Linked DNA regions of Elephas maximus indicus. The protein of the gene in region 2 purifies or fractionates together with the protein of the main gene of each other region. This does not show direct contact. Links are inferred from orthologs where the notes say so. Each region holds a gene or a part of one and is shown on either strand. Other genes may lie near its edges.

Region 1 (7,177 bases), on a different chromosome or scaffold from region 2:
ATTCTCCCTTCGTATCCATTCAGACATTTGTTCAACAAGGATTTATTGAGCACCTACTGTGTGCCTAGTCACTATGCTAGCTGCCCTTCTCTTAAACAATAGTTACTGAGGGTCTACTGTAGTCTCTCTTGGTATCTGTTCAGACATTCGTTCAACAAGGATTTTTGAGCGCCTAGTCCCTGTGCTAGTCACTAGGGATACAACCGTGAACAAAACATACAATCCCCTTGCCCTCAGGGATCTCACATTCTAGTGGGAAAAAGACAGACAATAAACAAGTAAATACATACAATAAAATAACTTCAGACTGCACTAGGTGCAAGGATGGAAACATGCTGGCAGCTGCAATGAAGACTCACAAGTGGCCCTACTTAAAGTAGTCAGGGAAGGTCTCTTGGAGGAGGTGACATATGAACTGAAATCTGAAAGATGAGGAGCAAGCCAGGTGGAGAGCTGGGGGAAGAGCTGCCAGGCAGAGGGAAAAGCAAATGCAAAGGCCCTGAGGTGTGAGCACTTGTGGCATATGTTTTGGCATTTGAAAGAAGGTGCTGCAGTAAAGTAAGTAAGTAGCACACTCCACACAATCAGTGTCTGTCAAGGGAAGTTTGGAAAGCCTGCAAGAGCAACATGCAGGGCAGGGCATTAAACGCCTGTTGTTAGCTGGGTATCTCCAGCCCACACAAAGGGAGCCCCCTGAAAACTCCTGGAGTTTTCATGACTAGCCCAGGGCCACAGCAGCAGCAAGGGGCACATCTTGTCCATGATTTATGCTTCATTCCTGTTATCTGGTGCTGGGCCACAGTTCCAAAGACCTGTGGAGCCTGGGTTCTGACCCTGAGAGGCTCACAGAGGCTTAGCCTGGGTTTGCCCAGTGGAAAGCAGAGTACATATGCGCTCAGCCCGCATGACAATGTTCCCACACTGGGGAAGCCCTTCTGGACTCCTCAGATACTCAGGTCTGTGTAGCACAAACTCCTCCCCCAGCAGTGGTCTGTGGCCCCAACCTGACCTAGAGCTACTCCACCTCTGCAAACCCAAGTTCAAGCAACCTGATTTCTGCTCACAAACAATCTCATGGCCCACACAGTTCTCCAGCTCTACTATACCTGGCCTCTGCCCCCTTGACCTGGTATTTCTGTTGTCTTCCTACCCACCAGCCCCCCCATCCCTCCCCTCCAGCTTGACCCCCAAGGCCCACCTCTTCCACCTTTCTCTCCTCAACACCTTCAACTCCCTCCTTTCCTTGTTCTCCCACCACACAAACCTGGCAAAACCCCAACCTTGGATCAATCCACCAATCCCACCCTTTTTTTCCCACTCACTCTCCAGGGCTGCTGAATACTACAAGAGAAAATCGCATGAGCAGAAGAACTGGCATTACTTTCATGGTCTTCAACTTCAGTTCGGGAAAGGGGAAAGACCACAGACTTTGGACTCAAACAGATCTTGGCTCCATACTAGCTGTGTGACCTTGGACAAGTTACTTAACCTCTCTGAGCCTCACTTTCCTCATCTGCAAAATAGGGCTAATACTTACTTCACGGGGGGCTCAAAGATTAAATGAGAACACACATAAAGCACCCAGCCCAGTGCCTGGCACAATGTAGGTGCTTGGCAAATGGGAGGCTCCTTTTCCCTTGTTCCCAGAACCAAACCGCTCCTTGCAATACTGCCCCTTGTTCTTGGTGTGCTCCTTCTCCTATTATCCCCAGCAGACAGAAAAGAAGGGGGCTGGGGGGCGCTGAGGGGCAAGGGGTCAGAGAGAGGAAAAAGGGATAGAGGTTGAAAGGATGGAACTTAAGGCCAAGGGGCAAGGGGAGGGGGAGGAGGTTGAGGGAACTGAAGGGCCGGGGTGAGCCGGCTGGCTCTTAGGTGAGACTTAGAGGCCCCCTAACCAAGAACTCGCTCCCAGAACCAGACCGGTGGCCCGGGCTCCCACGCTCTCTGGATCACTCACCAGGCCGGGGCTGCAAGCCCTCCAGGTGGTAGGAGAAGCGAAGGGCCCGGTGGTGCTGAGGGCTGGGCCTGCAGGGCAAGACCCTGGGGCCTGGAGCAGCTCCCGAGCTGGCGTCAGAGGGCCCGGCAAGCTGGGAATCCAGGGGGCCGCAGAGAGCCGAGGCTGAGCCCCTGGGCACCGGCAGTCCGGGCTCCGAGACTCCAAGGTACGAGTCGGCACAGGCCGGCAGAGCAGCGACGGGGGGGTTAGCGGCCGGGTGTTCAGGTTCTGAAGGCCCAGCGCCCCCCGGGGCTCGGTGGCCATGCATGGTCCGGGCCTGGGCGCGGGGCCCGGGCTCCCCGCTTGGCTCCAGCTCCTGGGGCGGAGGCGCGGGCGGAGGAGGCCCGGCGCCGGGCAGAGCAGCGGCCTCAGGCTCGGGGGGCGGGGCTGTGGGCTCAACCCCACTGCGGAGACTCAAGCCCCCGGCCCGGGTCCGGGCCAGCAGCGGTGGCAGTGATGGCAGTAGCAGCAGCAGCCGCGGCCACTGCCGCCGCCGTGCCAGGCATCGCCGGCCCGGGCCTAGCGCGGGAGTGAGCTCCGGCCGGGGGCCCGCTGGGGAACGCAGTCTATGCGGCAGCGGCTAGGAGAGGGTCGGGAGACTGCGATCGGCGCGGGCTCTCCTTGGGTGGCAAGCCACTTCCGTGGCCCTGGGGCGAGCGGTCGGTTGGATCTGAGTGTGGGTCTCTTCTTTCTCCCCGAACGGGAATCGATCTGGACTCTCCTGGCTGGTCGGAAAGGGTTCTTCCTCCCGCCGCAGCGGGAGCCAGGGGGCGGAGGGGAAGGGAGGGAAGAGGGGCTGGCTGTGGCCGGGGGCGCGCTTGTGCGCCGCGCGCTGCGGGGCTCGCCCTCAGCCAGCACCCCTGGAAGATGTTCCAGCCACAGAGGCAGGAGAACCACCTGGGCCCAACTCCACCGCCCTCCTTAGCCTCAGCCTGGGTCTCCGCGGCAGCGGGCGGGAAGGACCCAGAGAAAGGGGGTGGGGAGGAGGGAGCTGTCTTTGAGACAGCCGGAGCCACAGCGGCGCTGGGACCCAGTTACCCGGGCTCCGCCCCCTCGCCCGGGATTTGCGCTAGGCCACGCCTCCTCACTCGGGCCCGCCTTACTTCTCGCGGGGACCCCACCCTCAAGGCCCTCCTTCTGCCTCCCAAAAATTCCCTTTTAGCTTGTCTTTTCTATTCTGCCCCGATCCCTCACACAGGATTCCGGGCTCAACTTTCCCCCGCCCCCGAGTCTGCCCTTCTATCCCATCTCAGGTCTTCCTTCCTCTGCTCTCTCTTCAATCTCTTTTCCAGAAGCCATTCCACATGTACCAGAGCTTCCCTAGGGCTTGGCTCATAGAGGACCTGTCTTTGATAACTCCTCACTCTGCTTAGACCAGACCCCGTGGTCCTTTACTTCACCGCTGTCTTGCCAATAAATAGCCTCAGTTCCCTGGTTTGTCGCATCCACCTGGCAACATTCCAACCTTGGATCAGTCCAGCTCTCCACCTTTTCCGTGCCTTCCTCCAAGCAGCTAAACACTGCTGGAGAAAACTATTCAATGCACAGATTGCTGCCACTGTAAACTCACGGTCCCCAGCTTCTTCCAGGCCCTCCCTGCTAACCTACGACCGTACTGGTGTCCCTAGTCAACTCCCTCCCCCGTTCTCCACAGTGGCCATTTTAAACTTGCTCCCCTCTTCTCAAAGGTGTACTTCTCTGACTCCTAACCCTCAGCAAATGACCCCGCCTCCTACTTCATAGAGTAAACAGAAGCCACCAAAAAAGGGCACTCTTAACTTCTTGCCACCAAATCTACAGAGCTCGTCCCTTGCTCCTTCCTATCAGCATCTAAACGTGCTCAGGTCTCTTTCATGTAAAAACAAATATGTTGTTGTTGTTGTTGTTAGGTGCCGTGGAGTCGATTCCGACTCATAGCGACCCTATGCACAACAGAACGAAACACTGCCGATCCTGCGCCATCCTTACAATCGTTGTTATGCTTGAGCTCATTGTTGCAGCCACTGTGTCAATCCACCTTGTTGAGGGTCTTCCTCTTTTCCGCTGACCCTGTACTCTGCCAAGCATGATGTCCTTCTCCAGGGACTGATCCTTCCTGACAACATGTCCAAAGTATGTAAGAGGCAGTCTCGCCATCCTTGCCTCTAAGGAGCATTCTGGCCGCACTTCTCCCAAGACAGATTTGTTCGTTCTTTTGGCAGTCCATGGTATGTTCAATATTCTTCGCCAACACCACAATTCAAAGGCATCAACTCTTCTTCGGTCTTCCTTATTCATTGTCCAGCTTTCACATGCATATGATGTGACTGAAAATACCATGGCTTGGGTCAGATGCACCTCAGTCCTCAAGGTGACATCTTTGCTCTTCAACGCTTTGAAGAGGTCCTTTGCAGCAGATTGACCCACTGCAATGCGTCTTTTGATTTCTTGACTGCTGCTTCCATGGCTGTTGATTGTGGATCCAAGTAAAATGAAATCTTTGACAACTTCCATCTATTCTCCGTTTATCATGATGCTGCTCATTGGTCCAGTTGTGAAGATTTTTGTTTTCTTTATGTTGAGGTGTAATCCATACTGAAGGCTGTGGTCTTTGATCTTCATTAGTAAGTGCTTCGAGTCCTCTTCACTTTCAGCAAGCAAGGTTGTGTCATCTGCATAACGCAGGTTGTTAATGAGTCTTCCTCTAATCCCGATGCCTCGTTCTTCTTCATATAGTCCAGCTTCTCGTATTATTTGTTCAGCATACAGATTAAATAGGTATGGTGAAAGAATACAACCCTGACACACACCTTTCCTGACTTTAAACCAATCAGTATCCCCTTGTTCTGTCTGAACAACTGCCTCTTGATCTATGTAAAGGTTCCTCATGAGCACAATTAAGTGTTCTGGAATTCCCATTCTTCGCAGTGTTATCCATAGTTTGTTATGATCCACACAGTCGAATGCCTTTGCAATTACCAAAATTCTCCCACTGCAACCACCTCACTATCTCTCTTCTCCTTCCTACAAACTTCTTGAAACAGCTGCCTGCATTTGCTGTCTTCATTTTCCCATCTCCCACTTATCCTTTAACCCACTCCAATCTGCCTCCACTTCTTGCCTAAAACTACTCTCTCATCAAGGTCCCCCATAGCCTCTGTGTCACTAAACCTAACAAAAGCTTTTCAGTTTTATCAAACTTGACTTCTTGGTATCATTTGGCACTGTTGAGCACTCGCTCCTTCTTCCAAAACAGCCCACCTCCTTGTTTTCCTCCTACTTCTTGGTAATTCCCTTTTACTTTCCAGGCCCCTCTTTGTCTACCACTTAAAATGTTGGTGCTGGTTAGGGATTTGGCTCAAGCTCTCTTGTCTTCTCTCCCTACATTCTTTCCTTGGATTATCTCATTCACTGTCACAGCTTCAATTATCTCTTTGCTGATGACTCCCAAATTAATACCTTAAGTCTAAATATTTCTCCTGACTCATGCATTCAATTGGCTATTTGACAGCTGTACCTGAATATCCCAGAGAAACCTCAAACCTCAGCTTTTCCTCAACTCAACTCATCCTCCTCCTATCTGTCTCTTTGCACCTTACCTTAACGAATGACTCCAGGGAGAACAGAAACCTAAGCTACATTCCTAACTCTTCTCTCCCCTTCACCCCCTCTGCAATCACCAAGTCCTGTCATTTCTACCTCCTGCATATCTTCCAAATCTATTTGTTTAGTCTCTTCTCCATTTCTGCTGCCACTACTCTAGTTTAGGCCTGTACCATTTCTAACCAGCTCTCTATGCTGTAGCCAGTGTGATCTTTTGGAATGGTAAATATAATCACATCACTCCCATATTTAGAACCTTTCAGTGAGTCCCCACTGGCTCAAGAAGAAACCTACCTTCCTTAACAGGGTTGCTGGGCTCTTCATGATCTGGCCCCCTGCCTGCCTTTCCAGACTCTATGCTCAAGCCAAAGCTGAAATTCTTAGGCTGTTCTTCCAAGTATTTACATATTCTTGTTGCCTCTGCCTGAAACCCTGTCCACATCTCCCCAACTCTACTTCATTTGTTCTTCAGCTATCAGCTCATTCAATGAATGTTTTTTTGAGCACACACTATGGGCCAGGAACCATGTGAGGCACTAGTTGTGCAGTAGTGATTAAGACAGATGAGAACAAGACAGTGGTGCACAAACTGCCTTCAGAGTTTATGGTCTGGTGCTAGAGAGGATGCAAAGTAAACAAACACATAATTACAACACATAATTACAAATTGTGATAAGGCAACAAAGGAACAGGGTGATTTTTTAAAAGGGAATAACAGGTCAGAGATAATTTAGCCTGAGGGGTCAGGCAAAGCCTGATATTTGAGCCAGATCTGAACAAGTAGGAGCTAGCGGATGATACCAAACAAAAAACACCAAACCCATTGCCGTCTAGTCGATTCCGACTCATAGTGACCCTATAGGTCAGAGTAGAACTGCCCCATAGGGTTTCCAAAGAGCACCTGGAGGATTCAAACTGACAACCTTTTGGTTAGCAGCCATAGTTCTTAACCACTACGCCACCAGGCTTTCCTAGCGGATGATGAGGGGAGGCAAAAGAGTTCCAAGGAGAGGATACAGCAAACGGGAAGGCCCTGAGGAGAAAGAGAAATGGTATATTTAAGAACAAGAAAGGCAGCGTGGCTGGAGCATGGTGAGCTCAGGGCAAGAGTGGTGCAATGTGAGGTTGAAGAGGTAGGCAGAAGCCGGATTATGTAGGGCTTTATAGGCGATGGAGCCCTGGTGGCACAGTGATTAAGAACTAGGCTGCTAACCAAAAGGTTGGCAATTCAAATCCACCAGCTGCTCCTTGTATACCATATGGGGCAGTTCTACTCTGTCCTATAGGGTCGCTGAGTCAGAATTGACTCGACGGCAATGGGTTTTAAGTTTCATGAAGATTTTGTTTCTGATATATATACTACACATATGTATTATATGTGAATTGAATTATGATGAAATAGTATCTCTTCTGTAGGTTGAAAAAATGCTGAGATGCATTGTATTGACAGGCTTTAAGTTTGGGATTGACAAGGTCTGGTTAACTTTTTTAAAATATTACTTTGGCTGCTGTGGATTGGATTGGAGGTAGACAAGATTAGGGGCCTACTGTAGTCAGAGATGAGGTGAGTTAACTAAAGTGTGAGCAGTGGAGATGGAC
Region 2 (7,386 bases):
AAGAACCTTTGCAGTGTGTTCCCAGAGTTCTGGAGCCAGCAGAGGCCCTCCTGCTTGGGCCGTAGGCCTCCCATCAGCTTGCTCCGGCTAACACGCACATCCCATAGAGCCTCTCTGCCCTGCAATTTACCAAACCACAGACTCGGAACTTGCCATCAGTGGAGGAGAGGCAGGAAGGAGGCATGATTCTCAAGTGTAGAGGACTTCCAGAACATATGTGACTTGGGTCCAGCATGTTCTGCCAGCTAACCAGAGCAGAGTGCCTTACCCAGAACACTTGGTCTTCTGGTGTGTGGTGTCCACTGTGAAAGCGCCAGGAGAGGAGGTGAGCCTTAGCCTCAGAGACCACAGTCTCCCCCAACCTGCTCCTCCTGCCTCTGTCGGCATTGCTGAACACTATTATTTAGCACCCTCTCCTTATGTTATACATTAATGACCCCAGTGTATACCTTGATACCACCAGATACTTGTCTTCCTAGTCAAGCCCTGCCAGTCTTAGGGTACATTTGATGAGCAAAACTCACACCCTGGGGAAAAGGCCAGTCAGACCTATGACTGACTGTGTTGCAAGACTTTACCCAATTTGGTTCTCAGTTTTCTCATCTGAAAATGAGAGGGTTGAGTCAGAGAGTCTTTGGGTCCCCGCAAGCTCCAGGATTCGACTGCTTATAACACTTTCTCCCTTAATTGTTTTCCAGAGCCATAGTTCAGAGCTCTGGATGGCCCCAATTGTTCAGTGACATCACTCCCTGCCCAAACATAATGTCATTGATTCCTACATGGGAAGTGGAGATGTCCCAGGAAGCTCTGTGTCCATAAAAAGGGAGGAAATGAACATTTTAAGGGAACTGGATAGATCTTCCTTTGTATTTTTCACATAAAACAAGTTATTATCAATCTTAAAAGCCAAAATCTTTCTTCCTTTTTGCCAGACCATCAATAGCTGCTTTTGAAAAGTATTTACTTAGTCACAATTAGAAACAATAAGTTACTATTTAATGAGTGTTTACTATGTGCCAGGAACTGGGCTATGTGATGCATAGAGATATTCCCATTTAATTCTCCTGACAGCCCTGTGAAGTAGGTATTATAATCCTCGCTTTAAACATGAGGAAACAGAGGCCCAGGAAAGTTAAACAACTTGCCCAAGCTCACGGAGCTTCCAAGTGGCAGAGGAGCTTTGAACAAGACCAGCTAACTCCAGCACCCCATCTCTTCACTACCTCTCGATACTGCCTACAGTGAGTTCCTGGGCACCTTGGCAATGCTCCTGGCTTGCTGCCAGCCTGTCCTGCATCAGTAATCTTAGACACCATTGGTCAGAGCTCAAATTTGATGTTTCACCTGAAATTCACAGCCAGAAATGCAGGTGTCTGGGTCTCAGTGCAGAGAGTGCCATCTGTTAAAAGTAGGGCCAACCTTAACCAAGGACTAGAAGAGAGAAACTTAGCCTGCAACATCTGATAAAAGAGATTAGGAAGACTGACTCGATCAGCCCGACAATGCAGAAACGGACATCTGTCCCCAGAGCAGGGCCACCTGGTTACCCAAGCCCTCCAAAAGAAGCTTTCCTGAATGGCAGTGGGAGACGCTTGCCCAACCAGGTAATACAAAAAGAAGAACTGCCTGACCAAGCCGGGGAACATAACCCTCTGAGAACCTAGCTCTCTGACTGGTGGTGGGACCAGCCTCCAGGTTTACCTCCTCCTCAATCTAAACCCAGCCTCACTGGCTCAACTGTAAAGAAACCCAAGTTTCAGGGGTATTGGTGATAAAGGTAGAAAGAGTAGCCTCAGGCTGAGATTAGTACAAACCCTTCCCCTTCCAACAGAGAATAAAAGGCACTTCAGAGATCAATGTGCAATCTAAGGCAGCAGCCAACAGCCTGTTTTAATTGTTAAAATTAATGCTTTGAGCGTTGTAAATTCCCTCTTTAAATGCCTAATTTGCAAATAAGATGCAGCCCTGCTGTTCCAAAGCCCTCTGTGCTTTGACTGATACCCGGCTGTGTGTCTGTTGCTTCTTTCTCAAGTAAGAGAGCAAAGATGCTCAGACAGGCGACCCCAGGCGTCAAGGACACGGTGTTTACTTCCTAAGGTTCTAAGGATGGGAAGACAGGACCGGCTGAGATGAAAGGGGGACGTGTCACAGACCCCGGAGCTTGGCCCAGTCCACATTAGCCCCTTCTCATTAAGTTTTGGAAAGGCAGCGGGAGGGCCGGCGACCATTCCTCAGAGACCACAGCAAACATTTGCCCCCTCCTGTCTGGAGATGGAGCATCACCTAAGAGGAAATGAACCCGGTTAAGGGTCACGTCCAGAGGAAGGATAAAAGGAAAAGCCACAGTTCTCCTCACGCCGACGGACACAATGACTTTGCGGAGGAAATCAAAGCTCAGTGCTGAGGGTGGAGGTGGGGTAGGGGGTGCAGTGACTTCCTTTTGCCCCCAGACAGAGCCTAGGAAGGCAGAGACCGGAGCAAACGTGGGAGGCAGAGTGAGGCTTCGCCAGAGCCAGCCTCTAAAAGCATCTCGGTCTGCGTGAGCCCGAGTGACCCGAGCCCCAGGGAGGGCCGAGGAAGATGCTTTTCCCAAAGGAGGTTCTCAGGCAGATTCTGACGAATGCGCCCCCGGTTGGGGGGAGGGAGGGTCCTCATTCATCAAAGCTCAGGGGGACAGATGACTTCACCGGTGTAACAGACAAGGGCAGCCACTTGCCAATTCCAATGCCAAAAAAAGAAAACAGGGGGAGTGGAGGAAGGACAGAAAAGGCTTCCCTGGAGATCACAGCCCTGCGAAGAAAATCCACAGACGCGGCTGCCCTATGGGCACTTAGCTCGAGTACTTAGCATGAGCGAGAGGCCACTCGGCGGGGCCTTTCCTGAAGGTCCCAGCCTTCCGCAGGGGTGAGGTGGGGGCACAACTCACGTAGTGCTTGGAGGGGTTCCTCCGCTTCTCCACGTCCACCACCGTGGCATCTTGCACGCAGTAGGCGAGCATCTTCCCCCACAAAGCGAGTGGCGCCCCCCGGCGGCGTCACCTTCTCATCCCGTCCAGGCTCCAGCTACTCCGTTTCCCAAGTCCCCGGGGCCACCCGCCACCCCGGCCCGGCGCGCCGCGCCGCGCCGCTGCCCGGGATCCCAGCGCTCGCAGGTACGGCCCCGGGGGGGGGGGGCGGTCCTGGAGGGCACGCGAGCTCGCTGCGCTCCGGGGGGCTCCCAGTGGGCCTGCCGCGCGCCCCTTGCCGCCCGCGCCGCCTCGCCGCCCGCTCCCCGGCTCGCCCGCTTGGCCGCCCGCGCTCTCCGCCGCCCCGTGGGTCCGGCGGGAACTGGCGGAGCCGAGGAGGGGGTGGGGGTGTGTCCCGCCGGCGGGGGAAGGGGTGGGGGCCCAAGCCCGCTGTCAGCGCGCGGGGAGGGGCCGGCGGCGCCTCTGGGCCGCGCTCGGGCTCCAGGGGGCTCGGCGCTGGCGGAGGCTGAGGGCGCAGGAGGCGGAGGCAGGGCCGGGGCCGGGAGGGGAGGGAAGGGAGGGGAGAGGGGAAGCGCGCAGGGAGGGGCTCCGGGACCGGGGGAGGGGCTCGGGCACGGGGAGGGGGCTGCAGCCCGACCCAGAGGCAGGGGCGGGCCGGCGCGCCCCCATCCGAGCCAAGAGCGCAGCCTGCGGCCTGGCGCGGAGGAAGCACTGGGCTAGTTCTCTGCCACACGAAACCCTGGGTGGCTTCGAAGGGAAGAAGGTTGGGGGGAAGGTCAACCCAGAGCGCCCCCATCCCGGCTCCCGGCGTCTCCAGTTTTTCCATCTTGGAGAAGATATGTGCCTTTTTGCGCCCCCCCCCGCCCATTTGCCCCCCCTCCTACCCCTATCGCCCTGATCTCTTTAATGAAAAGTGGTTTATGACCTTGCTGTTACGGCCCAGGCTCCTGAGGAGGAGATGGGAATGGGGTGAGGGCCAGCGTTAAATCCTTCAAGGCAGAGCCTCTCTTGAGAAAACACCTACGCTTGAGGGTCACAAAGGGTGAATTCTCCTCGGGAATGTGATCGATCCGTTGCCTGAGTCGTCCCTCGATCTGGGCCTGTGTGTAACTAACCTGTGACATCATTTGCCAGTGAGGTTACAAGACTGCATAACACCACTGCTTTAAGCCCAGGACTCCCCAGGGACCCTCCCAGGGTGAGGAGGAAAGGAGCCTACAATGGTAGGAAAATCCACGGGGTTGGGGGCCAGCTTGTCCCCTGCTCCAGCCCTTGGCTTTCTAACCACCCCTTCCCTCTGGTCTTGAAATCCAACTTTCAAAGCCATTTGTTCGAGCTCCCTGGACTTGGAGCATAGTTACTATTTAATTCAATTTAGCTTTTCCCCTCATCTATTTCAACATTTTTTTTTCCATTCTACTTTTAAATATTTAAAGGGGTAGTGTTTTCACAACTAATTCAATGGTTTCACAGTCACAATAAAGCTTTGTGAATGTGGACCAATGTGAAATATCTGAAATGGAGAATAGTCTTCTGACCTAAATGTATTAATATTTTCTTCACTGCCCTGTCAGAATTCAGGCACCAATCTAAGACTTTATTCACTCGTTTGCTTGGTACAGAAAAAAAAAAAAAATTTTTTTTTGAACCCCACTATTCCTCTAGCAAACTCTCTAAAAATCTGACCTCTGCCAATCACTTGAGTTAATGCCACAGGGAGTATTACAGTCACCCTAATGGTCTCATTTGTAAGATGTGGGTGCTGATCTAGATGATCTTTTAAGATGCCTTCCTGCAAACACTCTAAACTCTTAGCAGTACTTACTCCTGGGGATACATTTGTTAAATCTTTGTATTTCATAATTAGCATGCATGCTTGTTGACATTAAAAAAAAAAAAACCCAGTGCCGTCTAGAATTTTAAGAAGCTCTTGTAAATGGACACAGAAATAGTAGAATTTTAAGAATTGGTTGAGCACCTACTATTCTGTGCTTATTTACAAGGCATTACAGAGGAGAAAACATTCAATTAACTGAAAACTGAATCCAGTTGACAGATGTTTGTCTCTTCCCTTAAGGCGCAGACAATCCAGTTGGGAAACAGGGACATCAATAAAACTGAATGTAATGAAACATGCATTCCCAAAACCAAACCAAACCCATTGCCGTTAAGTCGATTCCGACTCATAGTGACCCTATAGGACAGAGTAGAACTGCCCCCATAGGGTTTCCAAGGGCCACCTGGTGGATTCAAACTACTGACATTTTGGTTAGCAGCCATAGCACTTAACCACTACACCACCAGCGTATGCATTAAAAAAAAAAAAAAAAAAAAGCATTAGGACTCCAGAAATAGAGGCTTGGAGGAATCAAGGAGGGCTTCAAGGAGAAGGCTGTCCCTGTGCTGTGCCCTGGAGGATCTGCAAAGTTTGGAGCACCTCTGCCTCCCCTGGTCTCCTCTAGTCCAGCAGCACTTATCCTGAGCTGCTCTGACACCTGTCTGTAATACACATCATTTCCTCTGAAAGCACACAGTGCACAGGGACAGCTGTGTGTTATACTTCTTTGCACTCCTCGAATAGCCAAGCACAGTATCTTATATTCTGTAGTCCCACTAAAAGAATTTGCTGAGTGAAGGAAAGAATGTATGGTCAGGAGGAGAAGAAAAGGCGGAGTGACAAGAAGTCCCATGTATGACCTGACACATGAACAAGTTGGTGATGGACAGAGGACCAGGATGACAGTGTCCACCCGAGGAAAGATCAGGAGAGGGGGTCAGACACATAAGGATGAAATGTAGTTGGATGGGTAGAGGGTCCAGATTGTGAGGCGGCTTGAGCACTAGGCACAGGACTTCTCTATCTGGGAAGAGGATGGAAAACCAGTGCATGGGAGAAAGTGACCTGGCAGTGGGGCTAAGGGATCAGAAGGGGTAGAGACAAGGCACTGCCCCCCTGAGCAAGGCCTTTCTTGGCACAAAGTGGGAGGACCCAGGACAGGCTCTCAGCATGTGCTCCCCTCTGCAAAGGAAGGCCTGGGCTATGGGAACCAGGGAGTGCTCTGACCTATCTTGGACCCATCTCCAAGACATCTCATGATGCTTCGAGGTAGCCTATAGGTTCATAGATGATTCATAAAATGATTCATAATGGCAATCAGCTGCTATCCATTTGTGAATCTCAAAAGTTCTGGAAGCACTAATTAAGCTTGAGAAAGCCTTAGCAAGGGGAGCTGGTGGTTAGCTGTTGGAGGGAAAGAAGAGGAGGCAGATAGCCTACCTTGGGTCCCGTTGTGAGTCAGAGCAATTGGCTCATCTAAGGTGGATATCAGAGGTTTCCCACTCACGCTCCACTTTCTGGACCGGGATCCACACTGAACATGAACTTGAGCAGAAGAAATCTGTAGGCAAGAGGGCTCCATGCTCCCCACTGTCCTGGTAGCACAATGTGTGTGTTTTGGCCTTTGTCCTACCTAAGAAACCCCAGACAACTGGCATAGCTTAAATCCACTATTGTTAAGCACAACTTGAGTACTCCCAGCTTCCTCCCCTACCCCCAGATTACCTCAGTTTTAGGGAGTACCTGAGTGCCCCACATAGTGCCAAGATCTCTAGGTATTAGTTGAACAGAAGTTATTTTTCTCTACTGGGGCCATATGTCCAAGAGACTCTGAGTATAACGTGGTACTGACTCTATCTTCTTCCCTGGGTCCATTTCAGTCTCATGCAGGTTTCCTTCCCATGGTGCTTAGGAATTCCCTTCTGTCCCACAGACATTTATTTAGCACGTGCCTCACTGTGCCTAGCACACATCAAACTGACTGAGACTGGCTGAAGGATCCTTGGAGACAGGAACTGTGTCTCATTGAGCAGTATACTCCCACTATGCCCGGCACATAGTAGGTGTTTTGGTTGGCCTGAGTTGAAAACATCTGCCCTAAAGGAGTTCATAACGACACAGGAGAGGATTAGGTAGACCCCTATTTTACCACCTCCTTCTGAAACAGAGTTGACTCTAATCCGTTTTCAAGCTCAAAGTACAATGTATAAGTTCAAATGACAAAAGAAAACTGTAAAAATACAAATAAATAAATAAAAAGATAAATAAGGCAAGAGGACCCATAATTTATTTTTCAAAATATAATTGCAGACTGCTTCAAATCAGCTGGAAGAGACAAGAGAGGTTATTTATTCCTCTAATTTTACAGAGGGGAAATTGAGGCCCAGAGAAATGTAGCTAGTTACGCCGTGTTATACAGCTACTTAGTCCCAGACCAGCAGACCTTCTCCCCCGGGCTTATGTGCCCGTTCACAAGCTAGAAGAGTTTACTCAAAGAGCACACTTTTAGTGCGTTAACCAACACCTGCACACCCAGACTTTGCTCTCCGCCTGAGCTCTGAGTCTCTCAGTTCCAATTCTCCAT

Evidence for each region.
Region 1: the proteins of SH3PXD2A (region 2) and FGD1 purify together in Homo sapiens (affinity purification with mass spectrometry; 3 studies listed by BioGRID and IntAct, with this or other methods). This does not show direct contact. The link is inferred for Elephas maximus indicus from reciprocal best matches to the Homo sapiens genes SH3PXD2A and FGD1.

Annotation. Positions count from the first base shown.
Region 1 is NC_064846.1:113,505,681-113,512,857, reverse strand, and holds the start of FGD1 (FYVE, RhoGEF and PH domain-containing protein 1), read right to left. Parts: upstream 3,016-7,177; 5' UTR 2,265-3,015; coding exon 1,958-2,264; intron 1-1,957. UniProt on the Homo sapiens protein: Activates CDC42, a member of the Ras-like family of Rho- and Rac proteins, by exchanging bound GDP for free GTP. Plays a role in regulating the actin cytoskeleton and cell shape.
Region 2 is NC_064834.1:55,274,673-55,282,058, forward strand, and holds the start of SH3PXD2A (SH3 and PX domain-containing protein 2A), read right to left. Parts: upstream 3,009-7,386; 5' UTR 2,999-3,008; coding exon 2,927-2,998; intron 1-2,926. UniProt on the Homo sapiens protein: Adapter protein involved in invadopodia and podosome formation, extracellular matrix degradation and invasiveness of some cancer cells. Binds matrix metalloproteinases (ADAMs), NADPH oxidases (NOXs) and phosphoinositides.